Linked DNA regions of Sus scrofa. The protein of the gene in region 1 interacts with the protein of each later gene in a biochemical or structural test. Links are inferred from orthologs where the notes say so. Each region holds a gene or a part of one and is shown in the gene's direction. Other genes may lie near its edges.

Region 1 (8,784 bases):
CTTCCACGGCCAGGACAGTCCCCTGCTTCCTGGAGACCTTGTCAGCTTGCAGCATGATGCTGGGCCGGGGGCCCTCCTGCGCTGCCCCCCAGCTCCTGGCCACCCTGGCACCCAGGCCCCATACTTCTCCACCAATGCCTCAGCCTGGCTGGCCCGCCTGCCCGCCCAGCTGGAGGCAGCCCCAGCCGGCCTGACCTGTGCCCTGCGGCTGCTTGCTGCCACCGAGCAGTTCACCCCTCTGCTGGGCCTGAGCCCCAACCCAGGGCTGCAGCAGCCGGGGCGCTATGAGGTCAGGGCCATGGTGGGCAACGGTGTGTCCCGGCACAACCTGTCCTGCAGCTTCAACGTGCTGTCCCCGGTGGCCGGCCTTCGGGTCATCTACCCCCCCCCCCACGACGGCCGCCTCTACGTGCCCACCAACGGCTCGGCCCTGGTGCTCCAGGTGGACTCCGGCGCCAACGCCACGGCCATGGCGCGCTGGCCTGGGGGCAACGTCAGCGCCCCCTTCGAGGCCACCTGCCCCATCATGGTGGCTGCCCTGGTGCCTGGCTGCGACTGCGAGGTTAATGCCACCCTGTTCTCGGTGCTGGTGCTGCCCAGGCTCAACGAGGGCGAGCACGAGGTGGACGTCGTGGTGGAGAATGGTGCCGGCCGGGCCAACCTCAGCCTGCAGGTGAAGGCCGAGGAGCCCATCCGCGGCCTCCGTGCCACGCCCAGCCCTGAGGCCCGTGTGCTGCAGGGCGTCCTGGTGGTGAGTGTGGGACCAGGTGCTGTGCAGAGGCGGCCCCTCCCCAGCGAGCAAGCGCCTGGCTGCCAGGACCATGGGCTCGGGGTCCGTCTCTGGGCACGTCCTGTCAGGTGGCTCCTCGGACTGTTGGTTAATTCCTCAACTCCTGGAAAGTCATCTCTAAAGCACAGCTGCTTGGCAAACTCCCTTCTGCCCTCTCATTTCCTGGATCCAGTGTTGGGTTCTTCACCCACTTCTGATGTCACTGATCCTGGGTGTGTTCAGGGCCGCTGCATTGTTCCTACCTGGCTCAAGTGAGCAGTTTTGGAGGCATCACTGCAGGGGCCACTCTGGGAGGGGCTCTTCCCGTCCTGGGGATACCCACCCTGCACAAGGCAGCCACTGGCTCTGCAGCTTGGCACAGGGCCCATTGGGGCAGCTGTGTCCCCTGCCTGGCTTTCCCTGGTCACCCTTGTTCTACCAGGTGACATGGGTAGATGGCGCTGTGCTGACCAGCTAAGGGGCCCTGGGGTAGGGCTGCTCGGACCGAGGTGGGCTGGCTTTTGTCACTGGTACTAGGGCTCCTTCCCAGATGAGGAAACGGAGGTGCAGAGAGGCCGAGGCGTAACCAGACCCAAGCTCGGCCCCATATTGTGTGGCCGCCCCAGCCGTGCCCCAGCCCCCGAACGCACGGTGGCCTGGCCTGTCCCAGGGAGCCGCAGTGGGAGCGGGTCCAGGCGGGCGCATGCGGGTCCAGGCGGGCGCATGGCGGGTCCAGGCGGGCGCATGCGGGTCCAGGTGGGTGCATGCGGGTGGACGGCAGAGTTGGCCCTCAGAAGGCCCTGGGCGGGGACTGGGGCGCGGCCAGCTGACACCGCGCCCTTCCTGCAGAGGTACAGCCCCGCGGTGGAGGCCGGCTCGGACGTGGTCTTCCGCTGGACCATCGACGACAAGCAGTCCCTGACCTTCCACAATGTGGTCTTCAACGTCATCTACCAGAGCGCCGCCATCTTCAAGCTCTCGGTGGGCGGGGCGGGGGCAGGGCGGGGGCTGGGGGTGGTGTTGGGAGGTCACCGCTCCCCTGTGCCTTCTGTTCTGCTTTGCTCTCGAGGACCCCGTGGCGGCTCTGGGTGAGTGCGGGGTGGGGCTGTGTCCACGTTGCCTTCTGGCCCGCTGGTGGCCTGCTCACTGCCTCCTGTCTCCACAGCTGACGGCCTCCAACCACGTGAGCAATGTGACTGTCAACTACAATGTCACGGTGGAGCGGATGCATAAGATGCGGGGCCTGCGGGTGTCAGCAGTGCCACCCGTGCTGCCCCTCAATGCCACGCTGGCTCTGGCAGCCGAGGTGCTGGTGGACTCAGCCGTGGAGGTGGTCTTTCTGTAAGCGTGCTGGGCCCGGTGGGGAGCAGGAGCTGGCCGAGCCTGGGCGGGGCTGGTGCCCCCAGCTTCCTCCCCGCCTGCCAGCGTGTGCCAGGACCTGGGGAAGGGCTGCAGGATTGAAGCCGGGCCGGTGGGATCCTGAAAGGAGGGACAGGGAAAGTGGCAGCTCTTCCCACTCATCCCCCAGCCTGCTCACTGCCTGCCTGTTGCTCTGGCAGGTGGACCTTTGGCGATGGGGAGCAGGTGATTGGCCAGTTCAAGCCTCCATACAACGAGTCCTTCCAGGTCCCAGACCCCACGGTGGCCCAGGTGCTGGTGGAGCACAATGTCACACACACCTACACCGACCCAGGTGAGTGGCAGGCTTGCTGCCTGCCTGCCTCCAGCTTGGGCCAGCCCGGCCCCTTGATCCAGTCCAGGCCGGTGGCCGGGGCCCTCACTAGGGGGAAGAGGCTTCCAGGGCTGAAGGGTGGACTGGGCCTCTGAGACCCACGATTCGAGTCTGCCGGCCGGAAGCTGTGCTCTTCTCTCCCCTCCTGTCTCCTCCCTTGAGCCTTTTTTGGGGGAGAAGGGGAGGTTCCTCTTCATCATTTTTAAAATTCCAGAAGCCTTGCCCACAGAAATGCAGATTAGACAGCGCCCCTGTCACCTCAGCCTGTGTCTGTGCTGCCCTGTTACCCCAAGCTCACGCAGCCCTGGAGACCCCTACTCTCCATCTCCTTCCCACCTCAGCCCATCATCTCGCCCCCTGTGACCGGCTCAGGGCGGGGTCCAGGGGCCTGCCCCCTTCACTCTTGGGCTGGGACCCTGCTTTGCCCTCCTCCCCCAGGTGCCCACGCCCCCAGCACCAGGTCAGACAGGGTTTTGCCGAGCAGGTGGCTGCAGCGGCCCTGATTCCGTCCCCGTTCCGTGACTGTCCACTAGGTGAATACAACCTGACCCTGCTCGTGTCCAACGCCTTCGAGAATCTGACGCAGCAGGTGCCCGTGAGCGTGCGTGCCGCCCTGCCTATTGTGGCCGTGGCCATGGGTAGCCGAGTCTTGGTGGCTGGTTGGCCTGTCACCTTCTTCCCACACCCACTGCCCTTGCCCGGGGGCGTCCTGTACACATGGGACTTTGGGGACGGTTCCCCAGCTGTGACACAGCCCCAGCCGGAGGTCAACCATACATTCGCCTCGAGGGGCGTGTACCCAATCCTCCTGCAGGTCAACAACACTGTCAGCAGCGTGGTGGCAGGGGTCAGCGTCCGGGTCTTCGAGGAGCTCCGTGGCCTGACCGTGAGCCTGAGCCCGGCCGTGGAGCAGGGTGCGCCTGTGGTGGTCCGTGCCATCCTGGATGGGGGTGACAACGTCACGTGGACCTTCGACATGGGGGACGGCACAGTGCTCTCAGGCCCTGAGGCCATGGTGGAGCACGTGTACCTGCGGGCACAGAACTGCACGGTGACCGTGGGCGCGTCCAGCCCCGCTGGCCACCTGGCCCAGAGCCTGCCTGTGCAGGTCTTTGTCCTGGAGGTGCTGTGGATCGACCCCACAGCCTGCATCCCCCCCCAGCCCCACGCCCGGCTCACAGCCCACGTCACCGGCGACCCTGCCCACTACACCTTCGACTGGACCTTCGGGGACGGCTCGTCCAACACGACCGTCCGGGGGGACCCGACCGTGACGCACAACTTCACGCGCAGCGGCACATTCCCCCTGGCGCTGGTCCTGTCAAGCCGCGTGAATAAGGCGCACTACTTCCGCAGCGTCTGTGTGGAGCCCGAGGTGGGCAATGTCACCCTGTGGCCCGAGCGGCAGTTCGTGCGGCTCGGGGACGAGGCCCGGCTGGTGGCCCATGCCTGGCCCCTCTTCCCCTACCACTACGCCTGGGACTTTGGCACTGAGGACATTACCGCCTGCGTCGGGGGCCCCGAGGCCACCTTTACCTACCGGGCCCCGGGTCCCCACCTGGTGACCGTTGCCGTGTCCAACAATATCTCGTCCGCCAATGACTCGGCGCTCGTGGAGGTGCAGGAGCCCGTGGACCTCACAGGCATCGAGGTCAACGGCTCCCACGTGCTGGAGCTGGGGCAGCCCTACCTCTTCTCGGTGGTGGGCCGCGGGCACCCTGCCGCCTACCTGTGGGAGCTGGGGGATGGCGGGCGCCTCGAGGGTCCCGCCGTCACCCACGCCTATGACAGCACAGGCTCCTTTGCAGTCCGGGTGGCCGGCTGGAACGACGTGAGCCGGGGGGAGGCCCGGCTGAACGTCACGGTGCAGCGACGCGTGCGGGGCCTCAGCGTCAACGCCAGCCGCACGGTGGTGCCGCTGAACGGCAGCGTGAGCTTCGGCACCTGGCTGGAGGCGGGCAGCGACGTGCACTACTCCTGGGTCCTCTGCGACCGCTGCACACCCATCCCTGGGGGCCCCACCATCTCCTACACCTTCCGCTCCGTGGGCACCTTCAACATCATCGTGACGGCCGAGAACGAGGTGGGCGCTGCCCAGGACAGCATCTTCGTCTACGTCTTGCAGCACATAGAGGGACTGCAGGTGGTGGGCGGTGGCGGCAGCTGCTGCTTCCCCACCAACCACACGCTGCAGCTGCAGGCCATGGTCAGGGACGGTACCAACATCTCCTACAGCTGGACAGCTCAGCGGGACGGCGGGACGGCCCTGGCCGGCAGCGGCAAAACCTTCTCGCTCACTGTGCTCGAGGCGGGCACCTATCTCGTCCAGCTGCGGGCCACCAACATGCTGGGCAGCACCTCGGCCAACCGCACCGTGGAATTTTTGGAGCCTGTGGGGTGGCTGGCCGCGGCCGCCTCCCCAAACCCAGCCGCTGTCCACACAAGCGTCGCGCTCCGTGCCGAGCTGGCCGGCGGCAGTAGCATCACTTACTCCTGGTCCCCAGAAGAAGGGCTGAGCTGGGAGACCCTGGAGCCCTCCACCACCTATACCTTTTCCACCCCTGGCCTGCACCTGGTCACGGTCACGGCCAAGAACCAGCTGGGCTCGGCCAATGCCACCGTTGAAGTGGCTGTGCAGGTGCCCGTGAGCGGTCTCAGCATCCGGGTCGGTGAACTGGACCGCAGCTTCGTGGCGACTGGCTCCAGCGTCCCTCTCTGGGGGCATCTGGCCTCGGGCACCGAGGTGAGCTGGTGCTGGACCGTGCCGGGTGGCAGCAGGCACGGCCAGCACGTTGCCGTGGTCTTCCCCGATGCCGGCACCTTCTCCATTCAGCTCAACGCCTCCAACGCAGTCAGTTGGGTTGTCGCCACACACAATCTCACAGCGGAGGAGCCCGTCGTGGGCCTGGTGCTGTGGAGCAGCAGGAAGGTGGTGGAGCCTGGGCAGCTGGTCCACTTTCAGATCCTGCTGGCCACCGGCTCGGTGGTCAGCTTACACCTGCAGGTCAGCGGGGCTGGCCCGGAGGCGCTCCCCGGGCCCCACTTCTCCCGCAGCTTCCCCCAGGTTGGGGACTACACGGTGAGCGTCCAGGCCGAGAACCACGTGAGCCGGGCGCAGGCGCAGGTGCGCGTCTCGGTGCTGGAGGCCGTGGGTGGGCTCCAGGTCCCCGACTGCTGCGAGCCGGCCTTCGCCACGGGCGCCGAGAGGAACTTCACGGCCCGGGTACAGCGGGGCTCCCGTGTCGCCTACGCCTGGTACTTCTCCTTGCAGAAGGTCCAGGGGGACTCGCTGGTCATCCTGTCAGGCCGCGACGTCACCTACACGCCCGTGGCCGCGGGGCTGCTGGAGATCCACGTGCGCGCCTTCAACGAGCTGGGCGGCATGAACCGCACGCTCGTGGTTGAGGTTCAGGACGTGATCCAGCACGTGGCGTTGCGCGGTGACCGCTGCTTCACCAACCGCTCGGCCCGTTTCGAGGCGGTCACGAGCCCCAGCCCCCGGCGCGTGGCCTACCGCTGGGACTTCGGGGACGGAGCCCTGGTGGAGGACACAGACGTGCCCTGGGCTGCCCACTCCTACCTGCAGCCCGGGGACTACCGCGTGGAGGTGAATGCCTCCAACCTGGTGAGCTTCTTCGTGGCGCAGGCCACGGTCACCGTCCATGTGCTGGCCTGCAGGGAGCCGGAGGTGGATGTGGCCCTGCCCCCGCAGGTGCTCATGCGGCGCTCCCAGCGCAACTACCTGGAGGCCCACGTCGACCTGCGCAACTGCGTCTCCTACCAGACCGAGTACCGCTGGGAGGTGTACCGCACCGCCAGCTGCCAGCGCCCCAGCCGCCCGGCTCGGCTGACCCTGCCCGGCGTGGATGTGAGCCGGCCCCAGCTGGTGGTGCCCCGGCTGGCGCTGCCCGTGGGCCACTACTGCTTTGTGTTCGTGGTGTCATTTGGCGACACACCGCTGGCCCAGAGCGTCCAGGCCAACGTGACAGTGGCCCCTGAGCGCCTGGTGCCCATCGTCGAGGGCGGCTCCTACCGTGTGTGGTCCGACACGCAGGACCTGGTGCTGGACGGGAGCAAGTCCTACGACCCCAACCTGGAGGACGGCGACCAGACGCCGCTCAACTTCCATTGGGCCTGCGTGGCCTCGACCCAGGTCAGCTGCATGGCGGGGCGGGCGGCCATCCTCCTGGGTTCGCTTCATCGTGGCCGTGAGTGAGCCAGTGGGGGCTGGGGTCTGCCTGGTGGCTCTGATCTCAGCCAGGGGAGGGGGCCCCCCGTCAGCCCCTGGGCTGGGCTCTCCTTGGAGGCAGGGCGCGGGGTCTCACCCCTTACCTGATCACTGGCTGCAGGGTGAGGCTGGCGGCTGTGTGCTCAACTTTGGGCCCCGTGGGAGCAGCGTGGTCACCATCCCTCGGGAGCGCCTGCGGGCTGGCGTGGAGTACACCTTCAACCTGACCGTGTGGAAGGCCGGCCGGCGTGAGGAAGCCACCAGCCAGACGGTGGGTACCGCCCAGGCAGTGCCACAGGTCCTAGGTGGGGGTGCTGCCTGCACATAGCACCGAGCACCCCTTGTTAAGGTTCTCTGTGTTCTGGTGCTTCTGGCGGCTCTGGGTTCTTAGTTACCACCTTTGATAGAAGTCCGCTTTTAGGCGGCGTGCCTTGGGCATTGCATCCTCCCAAGAGGGCTGCAGCTGCACCCGAGCCTCAGGCACAGCCTGGACCCTCACAGGGGTGAGCAGTACACCAGTCTCACAGCACCAAAGGCCCGCGGCCAGGAGACGCGGCTCATCCTTGGAGCAGTGTCCCCTTCTGAACGGGGCAGCGGGGATGCTGTTCTCACGCCTGTGTGGGTGCACACGCACACACGCGCTCCCGAGACTGGCCAGGCGGGTCGGGACTGCATACACTTCCCTCAGTGGCACCACGCCTGCTGCTGGGAAGGGAGAGGTGGACCAGGCCCTCTGGCGCCTCGGGTGGAGTGTCCATCCCGGTACCAGGCCGCTCACAGCTGGGCTGCCCAGGGAGGGGTCCTGCCCAGAGGGGCCATCTGGGGCCAGTGCAGCCCCACCCCACCGACAGCCGAGGGCCCAGCCGGCCTCGTCCTGTGAACACACGTGCCTTGGCGCCTTCACTTGTCTGTCCGCTCACGGCCCCTCTCGGTGCCTGCTGGGTACCAGGCCCAGGTCCGGCCTGGGCTGCTGCAGAAACTAGCCCGTCATGGACTCTGCTCCCTCCTCCAAGCCTGGGAGACACAAACCGCAGGAACATACTGGGTGGAGGCTGGGAGCTCGATCCCTGGGAAGCCTGGGCTTCCGGCTGGCTGGGCCCAGGAGCAGCAGGTGCAGGGGGCCGAGGCCCTGCTCTTCTTTGGGTCCCACTCCCTACCCACCGCCCAGCACACTTGAGGGCCTGGGCCTCAGCAGCAGAGCCCCTACCTGGGCTCCTGACAGGGTGCGTGTGGCTCCTGAAGTCCCGCCCACTCCCCAGGTGCTGATCCGGCGGGGCCGGGTGCCCATCGTATCCTTGGAGTGCGTGTCCTGCAAGGCGCAGGCGGTGTACGCAGTGAGCCGCAGCTCCTACGTGTACCTGGAGGGCCGCTGTGACAGCTGCAGCGGGGGCTCTACAAGAGGGGTGAGCAGGGTGGGCCTTGGCGGGGGTGGGGGTTGGGGGGCGTGCAGTGCAGCGGTAGGGGAACCTGCCCCGAGCACCACGGTCTCTGTGCCCTTCAGCGCTGGGCCGCGCGCACCTTCAGCAACGAGACCCTGGTGCTGGACGAGACGACCACATCCACGGGGAACGCGGGCATGCGGCTGGTGGTGCGGCGCGGCGTGTTGCGGGATGGCGAGGGCTACATCTTCACGCTCACGGTGCTGGGCCGTGCGGGGGAGGAGCAGGGCTGTGCCTCCATCCGCCTGTCCCCCAACCGGCCCCCGCTGGGGGGCTCCTGCCGCCTCTTCCCTCTGGAAGCCGTGCGTGCACTCACGACCAAGGTGCACTTCGAGTGTGGGGGTGAGTATGGCCCTGGGGCCCCGTTGCGGGGGGCACGCGGGGACCCTGCTGACACTGTGGGGGCCCCCAGGCTGGCAGGATGCTGAGGATGCGGGCGCCCCTCTGCTCTACGCCCTGCTGCTGCGGCGCTGTCGCCGGGGCCACTGCGAGGAGTTCTGCGTCTACAAGGGCAGCCTCTCCACCTATGGGGCCGTGCTGCCACCCGGCTTTGCGCCTCACTTCACGGTGGGCCTGGCGGTGGTTGTGCAGGACCAGCTGGGCGCCGCCGTGGTCG
Region 2 (8,784 bases), on another chromosome or scaffold:
GTAGTAAGAATGCCAGCAAGAAGATACCCTAGGGGCTCTTGAAATTTTACATTTTGTCTTTATAGGATTAAATTTGTTTATTGGGATGTCCATGTAAAAACTGAGGTTTTAGTTGGCCTTAAATGTAAAAATGAAATATATCATTAATAGCCTTTGGTTTGGGTTGGGATTATGCCACCTCTATAAATGAATGCTCAGAAATCTCATGTTACTTTAGAACCTTAATTGAAAGTTGTGCATTGGACACTGTGACCAAGAGGTCTTACCAGCCATTATCATCCTCATTTAGTTCCGTACTTATTATAATTAATATTTTTCCTTTCATAAACATCATGTTTTAGAAGACCGTTGTCCACCAAATATGGCTTATTAATAAACTGTTTTCCCATTTTCATTCAAGTGACATCTGCAGTTCCATTAATGTGAGCTCTTCTGATTTATACATTGAAAAATCACCAGTGTTAACAACCAAGACTGATAGCAGTTCCTGCAGTCCACCCCTACATGCCCACACACACACATATGCCTGTATGTGCACACAGATGATAAACAGGACATTAATGTTTCATTTAGTATTTGAAGCCTTAACTTCCATAGACAGGATTTCTGTTAGGCTTTCTTGATTGCTGAAAATAGCTCTTATGTCTACATGGGATATTAACTTTGTGGTTCCCAACCTAGAATCTATAAATTTAAGTTACTCAGAGTAGTAGTCAGAGCATTAGATGCAATTTGGAAAAATATGGAAAAGTAGAAGGGGGAAAATTATTCATATTTCCACCCCAAATATCACCTTATTTTGTTCTCTAGCTCACCAGGCTTTGCGAATAGAATCCAAAGACTAATACCATTAAATCCCCAATAAAATATATGCTCTATGAAGGCTAGAATTTTTTTGTCATGGGTTCTGGAGTAAAACAGAAACATTTAGAATGAACTTGAGAATCTTAAGGTTTTCAATAAATGTATACTGACTAAATTAAATGATATTTAAAGAGTTTTATCATAGTGTATATGTCACTTTTATCATTGTTCTTTCACTTAATGTTTTAACTGCATTTTTCATGTTGCCATAAACATTATTTTTAATGATTGCATATTTTTCCACCTAATGGATGTGACATATTTTACTGAACATTTCCTTGTAGTAGGTGATTTCAATTAACTTAATAATACTTGAGTAAACAATATGACCTTGAACTGTTTCTTCCTCTAGTAGTATCTCCTTAAGATATATTCCTAGAGTTGGCAAACTTGAATCAAATGGTTGAAATATTTAATGCCTTTTGATACATATCACCAAATTATTATATCACATACTGCTTTCTTGAAAGTTTTAAACCAGTTGGCAGTGCCATTTGCAATACATAATTTTCTACTTAGTCGTATGTTTATCTTATGCAAGGGGATGTTGTTGTACCTACACATCTGCCTATATGTGAATCATATGTATATATAATTAGCAAATGATCCCTGATAGTGACTTAAAGTATGCATTTCTTTAATAGTGAAGGTGGACTGTTTTAGTTGTTTAGCTATATTGTTTTCTTGTTTTAAATTTTTTCTAGAAGTTTTAGTGTTTTTCCCCCCTAATATTTAATAGAAATCATATACAGCTATATTTTCATACTTGATCCTCATATTTTTGTTTGGTTAGCCCCACATTATTGATGCTTTATTTAAACCTATAGGAAATTTCCATTTTTACATAATTAAAAAAAAACCCATAAAGCATTTATTGAGGAATGTGCTATATGTTGTCAGTCATTTGAGTGGGTGATCTCATTTAATCCTTTTAACAACTTTATTTTATGACTGTAATGGTAATTATCTCCATTTTACATATGAGGGAACTGAGACCTAGAGAACTTAAAATACAGGGTAACAACATACTTTCTGACACAGTTGTGGGAACAGGCAGATTTAGAACAGAGGTTGAAAATTGGCAGCCTGCATGTCACAGTCGACTTACAGAATCTTTTTTTTTTTTTTTTTTTTTTGGTTCCCATGGTGTTACGTTTTAAAAAATATTTCAAGTGGAAAATTAGGTGACTCCTGTCTACACTGGGTCTATATATTCTTTATTCTTATCATTTCCCACATTTTAGCATGCATGCAGATTTGTACTTTTTCTTTGCTAGTCCAATAACCAAATAAATACATTATGTTAAAAGCTTTACTTCATAAGGCATATGTCTTATAATATATCTTCTGACTTTGGTTACAAACAAAATTGTTTGCAAGTGCAAAAATTTTGTTGGGTTAGAAGTTTTTTGTATAATGTACATTTTTTTCCTCAATAGAGTTGCACTTGTTTGTCCTAAGTTGACTTGAATTTGGCGAGAGGTCCAGTAGAATAAGTTTTGTATCAATATTTCTTTGGCATCATCTCTTTGAAAAAGGGAGATGTGGAAGATTTCATGGCAGAGTACAAATTGCAGGCTAAAATTAGCATATGGTTCATTTTATCAAAACTGATATACAGAAGACCTTTTATCATCATTTTGAAAAAAAGGAATAGATTTGTTGAGGTAAAATTTGTTGAATGGAGGATAGTGACCTTCACTTTTTGCTTCTAAGTCAGCGTGATAATTTTCTATCCTCTGTCACTCTCTCACTCTTTTTTTTTCTTTCTTTCTGTGTCTCCAGTGGATGTGAAGTCAGAGGTTCCTGTGGGCCTGGAGCCCATCTCGCCTTTAGACCTAAGGACAGACCTCAGGATGATGATGCCTGTGGTGGACCCTGTTGTCCGTGAGAAGCAACTGCAGCAGGAGTTATTGCTCATTCAGCAACAGCAGCAAATCCAGAAGCAGCTCTTGATTGCAGAGTTTCAGAAACAGCATGAGAACTTGACACGGCAGCATCAGGCTCAACTTCAGGAGCACATCAAGGTAGCAAACGTTTCTTTGTCTCTGACCTTTGACTCAGGGAGCCTGTGCCATAACATGGGCATAGGAGGAGCACGGGGGGCTGTTCCACTGTGATAAGATGTGGATGCATGGCTGGAAGGGCACTGTGGTTGTACTAATTAGAGGCACAGTTCTAACACAGTTATGGGAACAGGCAGATTTAGAGCAGAGGTTGAAAATTGGGTAAGTAGTAGGAAACCTGGCAAAAAAACCTGGCAAGAAAACCCTGCTTTTCTTCTCGGAGAGGGGCCTCTATACTCTTTTATCCTTTAGTTTACAGCATCTGTGGTAGGGAATAGTAACTTTCCCACCCTTTTTTAGATTTTTCTTCCTCATGATTTTGTCCATTTGCCTAATCTGCTCTCCACCAAGATGATCCATGAGCTTGGAAGGAGCCATTTTCTATTTCTAAAGGATCTGCGTAGTATTTACCAGAGAGGATAAATTAGTCACATTATGTGAAGACAGAGCCTTTTTCTTTTCTTTTTTTCTGGCTATGTCCACAGCTTATGGAAGTTCCCAGGGCAGGAATTGATCTCCTAATACAGCAGCAATCCAAGCTACTGCAGTGACGACACCAGATTTTTAACCTGCTGCAGCACAAGGGAACTCCAAGAGCCTTTTTCTGTTTCTTTTATTTTGTCTTTTTAGGGCCCCACCCATGGCATATGGGAGTTCCCAGGCTAGGGGTCTGATCAGAGCTGTAGCTGCTGGCTTACACCACAGCCACAGCCACAGCAACGCAGGATCTGAGCCATGTCTGCAACCTACACCACAGCTCTCGGCAACGCTGGATACTTAACCCACTGAGTGAGGCCAGGGATCGAACCTGCATCCTCATGGATGCTAGTCAGATTCGTTTTCGCTGAGCCATGGCAGAAACTCCAAGCGTTTTTCTATTTTTTATTTTTGTCTTTTGTCTGTAAGTGGATGTTCTGAATATGTCTTAACCTTCCTTATGGAAAAGACCTCATAATGTATATACATATAAAATAATAACATAATGAAAAGCTCAATAGAATTATATATAAAGAAGCTGGTGCAGATATTTTCAGTGTTTTCATATAAGTCTAAGAGACTATAGATAAGAATTTATTGAAAGAATTTTGGGAGTAGTTAACAATTTGAGACCCAAATTGTTTAAATTATTCTAGGAGAATATGTCCATATCCCAGAATTTTTTGATGGACTATATTATTATCAGATCATTCTAAATGTGTCTGTGTATCTGTTTATTCTCTTGTATCTTGAGATAAATATTACTTCATTTTTTTATGTCTTTCAGCATCTCCCCCCAACACACACCCAGGGCTACAGCTCTGGCATATGGGAGTTCCTGGGCCAGGGGTTGAATCCAAGCTACAGCTGCAACACCTATGCCATAGCTGTGGCAATTCTGGATCCTTAACTTGGACCTAGCCTGGGATGGAAACCATGCCACCCAGAGACAATGCCAGATACTTAAGCCCACTGCAACATAGTGGGAACTTCTTAAAAAAGATATTTGAAACAAAGCTATTTTGGTTTGACTTAGTGGATGTTTAATTTGAATTTATTATGACAGTAATATAAAGCCCCAGATATTTATAAGTTCTTTTTTTTTCTTTTTGGCCACCCTGCAGCATATGGAGTTCCCAGGCCAGGGATCAGATCTGAGCTGCAGTTGCAACATAAGCCACACCTAGGGCAATGCTGGATCCTTAATGCTCTGATCCAGGCCAGGGATTGAACTTGCATCCCAGTGATCCCAAGAAACTGCCGATCTCATTGTGCCACAGCAGGAACTCCATAATAAAAAGTGCATTTTTATGTCCAATTCCTTCAAAAATGACTTAACTGAATGCTAATTTATTAATAAAATATTAATTATTAAAATAAATCTATTAATTTAATGAATAATTTTGAGTTTATTAATAAATTTATGAATAAAATAAATTATGTGTTATATCATATCTTACTATATTATATTATAGGCACTTGCTCTTTTACCCACTTGCATATCAAATACAAGCACATTTGTGTGGGGTAATATAAATAACTAATTATGTTAATATTATATAATTTTACCACATTGATATTATAGCATCTCAGAAGGTAAAAATGCTATTTCTTCCTTATGTTTCTTATTCTCTATTTCCTTAGCCTAGAAGGCCTATTTTATCTAATTTTCAAAAAAAGCTTCTTTGACACCTGATGTAAATTTTTTCTCCTTTTAGTGAACTTGACTAAAAGAACGCTTGCGATTTTTTGCTCTGTAAAAGACCTTAAAATAAGAGTAAGGATTTTGGTTTGAGACCCACATGGAATCATGGCTATATTTTACAGTATAGGATACTTTGATTTAGTTCATAGACTTATTTTTGAATGATTCTGAAACATTATTATTTGAAACAGTAATAGATGTCTAGCTTTTCTTCTTCATTCATTCTGGGCATGTTAGGATGACAATGGCGACAAATGGGTAAAACTTATATTCTTCACCATACTTTAAGATTTAAGTAGCTATCTGGTTCATTCTGCTGTGGTGTGCAAGTTGTATTGCCCTAATATAGGGCAATATTGATAAGTGTCAGATTTAGATATTTCTTTTCATTTATATTTGATGCCTTTTGTAGTTGTAAAGATCAGCATAAACATTTTTAAAGTAATTAATTGTTTGAGTTTATTCAAAAGTTAATAGAAGCAAATTGGTAATTGTTAATTTGCCCCAAACAAGGTAGGATATAGCAGGTCTACTGACATCTGGAAGATAGTATAAAAAGGGGAAAAGAAAAATGATTCTGCGATAACTAAAAGCAAAACTTAGATTTTGGATTTTTTTTTTGTCTTTTTGCCATTTCTTGGGCCACTCCCACGGCATATGAAGGTTCCAGGCTAGGGGTCGAATCGGAGCTGTAGCCACCTGCCTATGCCAGAGCCACCGCAACTTGGGATCCGAGCCACGTGTCTGCGACCTACTCCACAGCTCACAGCAACGCCAGATTCTTAACCCACTGAGTAAGGCCAGGGATCGAACCCACAACTTCATGGCTCCTAGTCGGATTTGTTAACCACTGAGCCACAACAGGAACTCCTGGATTGATTTTTTAAAGTAATAATAAGTTGTTTTCTTTTAAGTTTAAGGAGTTCTTTTGGTTTAATTTTTAAAATTTTTATTGTTTTGCATTTTTTATGAGCAAGGCTAAAAGTTGGTGCATTTAACATTCATTTACATTTTGTTTTTATGAGGAAGGCATAGTATGATGCTTTACTTATATTTGTGTTTATATTGGCCTAAGATTCATCTTAGGCTTCTATAGTCTACATCTGTTGAATTAGATGCTATTATCCTATTTTCCCAGCCAGTAATCTGAGGCAGAGAGAAATGCTGTAACCTGTTCCAGACCACACAGCCAGTAAATGGATGCTCCAGTATTTGTAGCTTGTCTGCCTCCAAAGCACCTAATTGTTCCTGCCTCTGTCTTGCACTGGAATATATTAAACTAGAGGAGTGAAGTTTTGTTTCTTTTTTCTTTTCAATTTCATTCCTCCAATCTTCCATAATGAATAGTAGCGATGGAAATTAAATTGTATGTTTTTCTAGACTCCAAAGAGAGATTAACATTCAGTTCCATTGGGGCTTTGAGTGAATCTATGACCAACCCCAATATCTATATAGAATTAACATTTAAGGCAAAGTTGAAGCAGAATTATGAAATTTTTGGTTAGCAGAATTTGGAAATTTTTGGAGTATCTAGAAACACCCATTAAGAGACTAGTAGGTCAAATCCAAAATGCTCCAGATCTTAATATGAAAAGTAACCAGAAATGCTTCTAACCCTATCCTTCTGGGATGAGGAAAGCTGTTGTGTTTGACATATAGAGTTGGCTATCTGTTGCTCCAGAGTGACTCAGATGCCATTCCACATAACTTTTTATTCTTATTTTGTTACTTTTCAGTGTCAATTTCAGAGTTCTAGGCATCTAATATAAACAGCAAATTACACTAACTCCATTAGTATTGAGTTTAAAATAGTACTAGTAAGCAAAGTTAGTATAATTCAAACTTACAACCTAAATTTCATATGTATTATGAACATGATGTATGAGGGAGATTATTTCTCTGTCTTACATATGAGGAACCAGTGCTTTGAGGAGTGTAGTAAGTTGTCTATATCTCATATCTAGTAATGTCAGAGCCTGGTAGAACTCAGAGTCTTTACTTACTCCTCAGGGGGAACACTTACTATTAATCATAAATGTCTATTTCTCAGTCTGAGAGAAATCTGACATCTCAACATGGTTATTGAGAATGCTTCACATTCTTGTTGTACATTATGTGGAAGTGAATTCAAGGAATTCAGACAGCCAGACAATAGTACATCAAAGCATAGTCTTATGGGAGTGAATTCTTCTTGATCAGTTTCTCTAATCTGCAGAGCTTTGTGTGAACCAACCAGACTTTTGCTATTTTGAGAGAAAAGCTTGCTATGGATATATGGAATGCATTCATCTATTGAAAACTTCCTCTGTAGGATTTTGAAATTTTTAGCATTCATTTTATTTCTGGTAGATTTCCCCCAAATTAACTAAAATCGCACTATCCTATTCAGTTTATGTTCAAACCATTTCTCAGAATAAGAAGTAAAGATTTCAGTTGTTTTTAATATTGTGAAAGACTTGGGAAGTCCTGCCTTTCTTTGCCTGTGTCATATATTTCAGATGTATAAAGAAAAGTCACTAAGGAACTGAAGATCTGAATGAATTTGGTAACATTTTGATAGGGCGATGTAGGTGATGAAGCTGCCTAAAAACTTTCTTGTTAATGACTATATATATCAAGTCTGTTGAGATTAACTCTGATGGAAAATAATATAGCAAAGGGAATGTGTGTGTGTGTGTGTGTGTGTGTGTGTATATATATATATATAGTCATATATATATATGAATGACTGGGTCACTTTTCTGTATAGCAGAAATTGGCACAACATTGTAAATCAACTATCCTCCAATAAAAACTTTTTTTTTCCCAAAAAAACACCATCTATGGCACTAGTTGCTTGTCTTTAGATTTCAGTAGTACACAAAAAAGTGGGTAAACTGTAAATACAAATAAGTTCCAATTTCAATTTTGGACTTTGATGACTATGAAGCCTTAAAGAAATTGCACACTCTCATGTCTTTCTCTTCTCGCAAGTTGCAACAGGAACTTCTAGCCATAAAACAGCAACAAGAACTCCTAGAAAAGGAGCAGAAACTGGAGCAGCAGAGGCAAGAACAGGAAGTAGAGAGGCATCGCAGAGAACAGCAGCTTCCTCCTCTCAGAGGCAAAGATAGAGGACGAGAAAGTAAGAGGCACCAGGGTAAAAGATGGATCTCTTCCCTCATCTTTAGCTGATCGTCATTCAGAAAAGAGCCTGATAAAGAGCGGAATTAAACTTGTCAAAATTGTCTGTGTTTAAGTAAAACGATAAATTATGAACCCAAATGTAAAGCTTTGACATTCACATGTCAGCTCTCTACATTCAGTTTATGGGCATCTCCAAAAGTAAACATAGCATTGTTTGGCAAAGATACCAATTTCCCTTGTTTTGAACCTTAAAAATAATGTTATACTAAGGCAATATAGCTCTGCCATTCTGTTCAATAATAAACTTACTTCCACATTACTCCATGCCTTCCTCCTGCTCAAGTAATAATTACTTTTTAAGTCAAGCCTTGTTTCCATTTAGTTTTCAAGTAACCTAGGTAGTATTAAGATTTAAGGGAGAACACTTGTTTTGTTTTGTTTTGTTTTGTTTTAACTATCCACAAGAGGGAGACAGATCCAAATAATTCTCCTGTATGAGGTCAGCTGAAAATCAGGTCTTAGCAAGGTTTAAAATGTGATGACTTG

The links.
Region 2: the proteins of PKD1 (region 1) and HDAC9 form a complex in vitro, tested with the Homo sapiens proteins (2 studies listed by BioGRID, with this or other methods). The link is inferred for Sus scrofa from reciprocal best matches to the Homo sapiens genes PKD1 and HDAC9.

The regions. Positions count from the first base shown.
Region 1 is NC_010445.4:39,870,245-39,879,028, forward strand, and holds part of PKD1 (polycystin-1), read left to right. Parts: coding exon 1-751; intron 752-1,618; coding exon 1,619-1,750; intron 1,751-1,934; coding exon 1,935-2,110; intron 2,111-2,328; coding exon 2,329-2,462; intron 2,463-3,034; coding exon 3,035-6,654; intron 6,655-6,850; coding exon 6,851-7,000; intron 7,001-7,988; coding exon 7,989-8,132; intron 8,133-8,230; coding exon 8,231-8,510; intron 8,511-8,580; coding exon 8,581-8,784. UniProt on the Homo sapiens protein: Component of a heteromeric calcium-permeable ion channel formed by PKD1 and PKD2 that is activated by interaction between PKD1 and a Wnt family member, such as WNT3A and WNT9B. Both PKD1 and PKD2 are required for channel activity.
Region 2 is NC_010451.4:87,754,419-87,763,202, forward strand, and holds part of HDAC9 (histone deacetylase 9), read left to right. Parts: intron 1-2,649; coding exon 2,650-2,891; intron 2,892-8,085; coding exon 8,086-8,251; intron 8,252-8,784. UniProt on the Homo sapiens protein: Responsible for the deacetylation of lysine residues on the N-terminal part of the core histones (H2A, H2B, H3 and H4).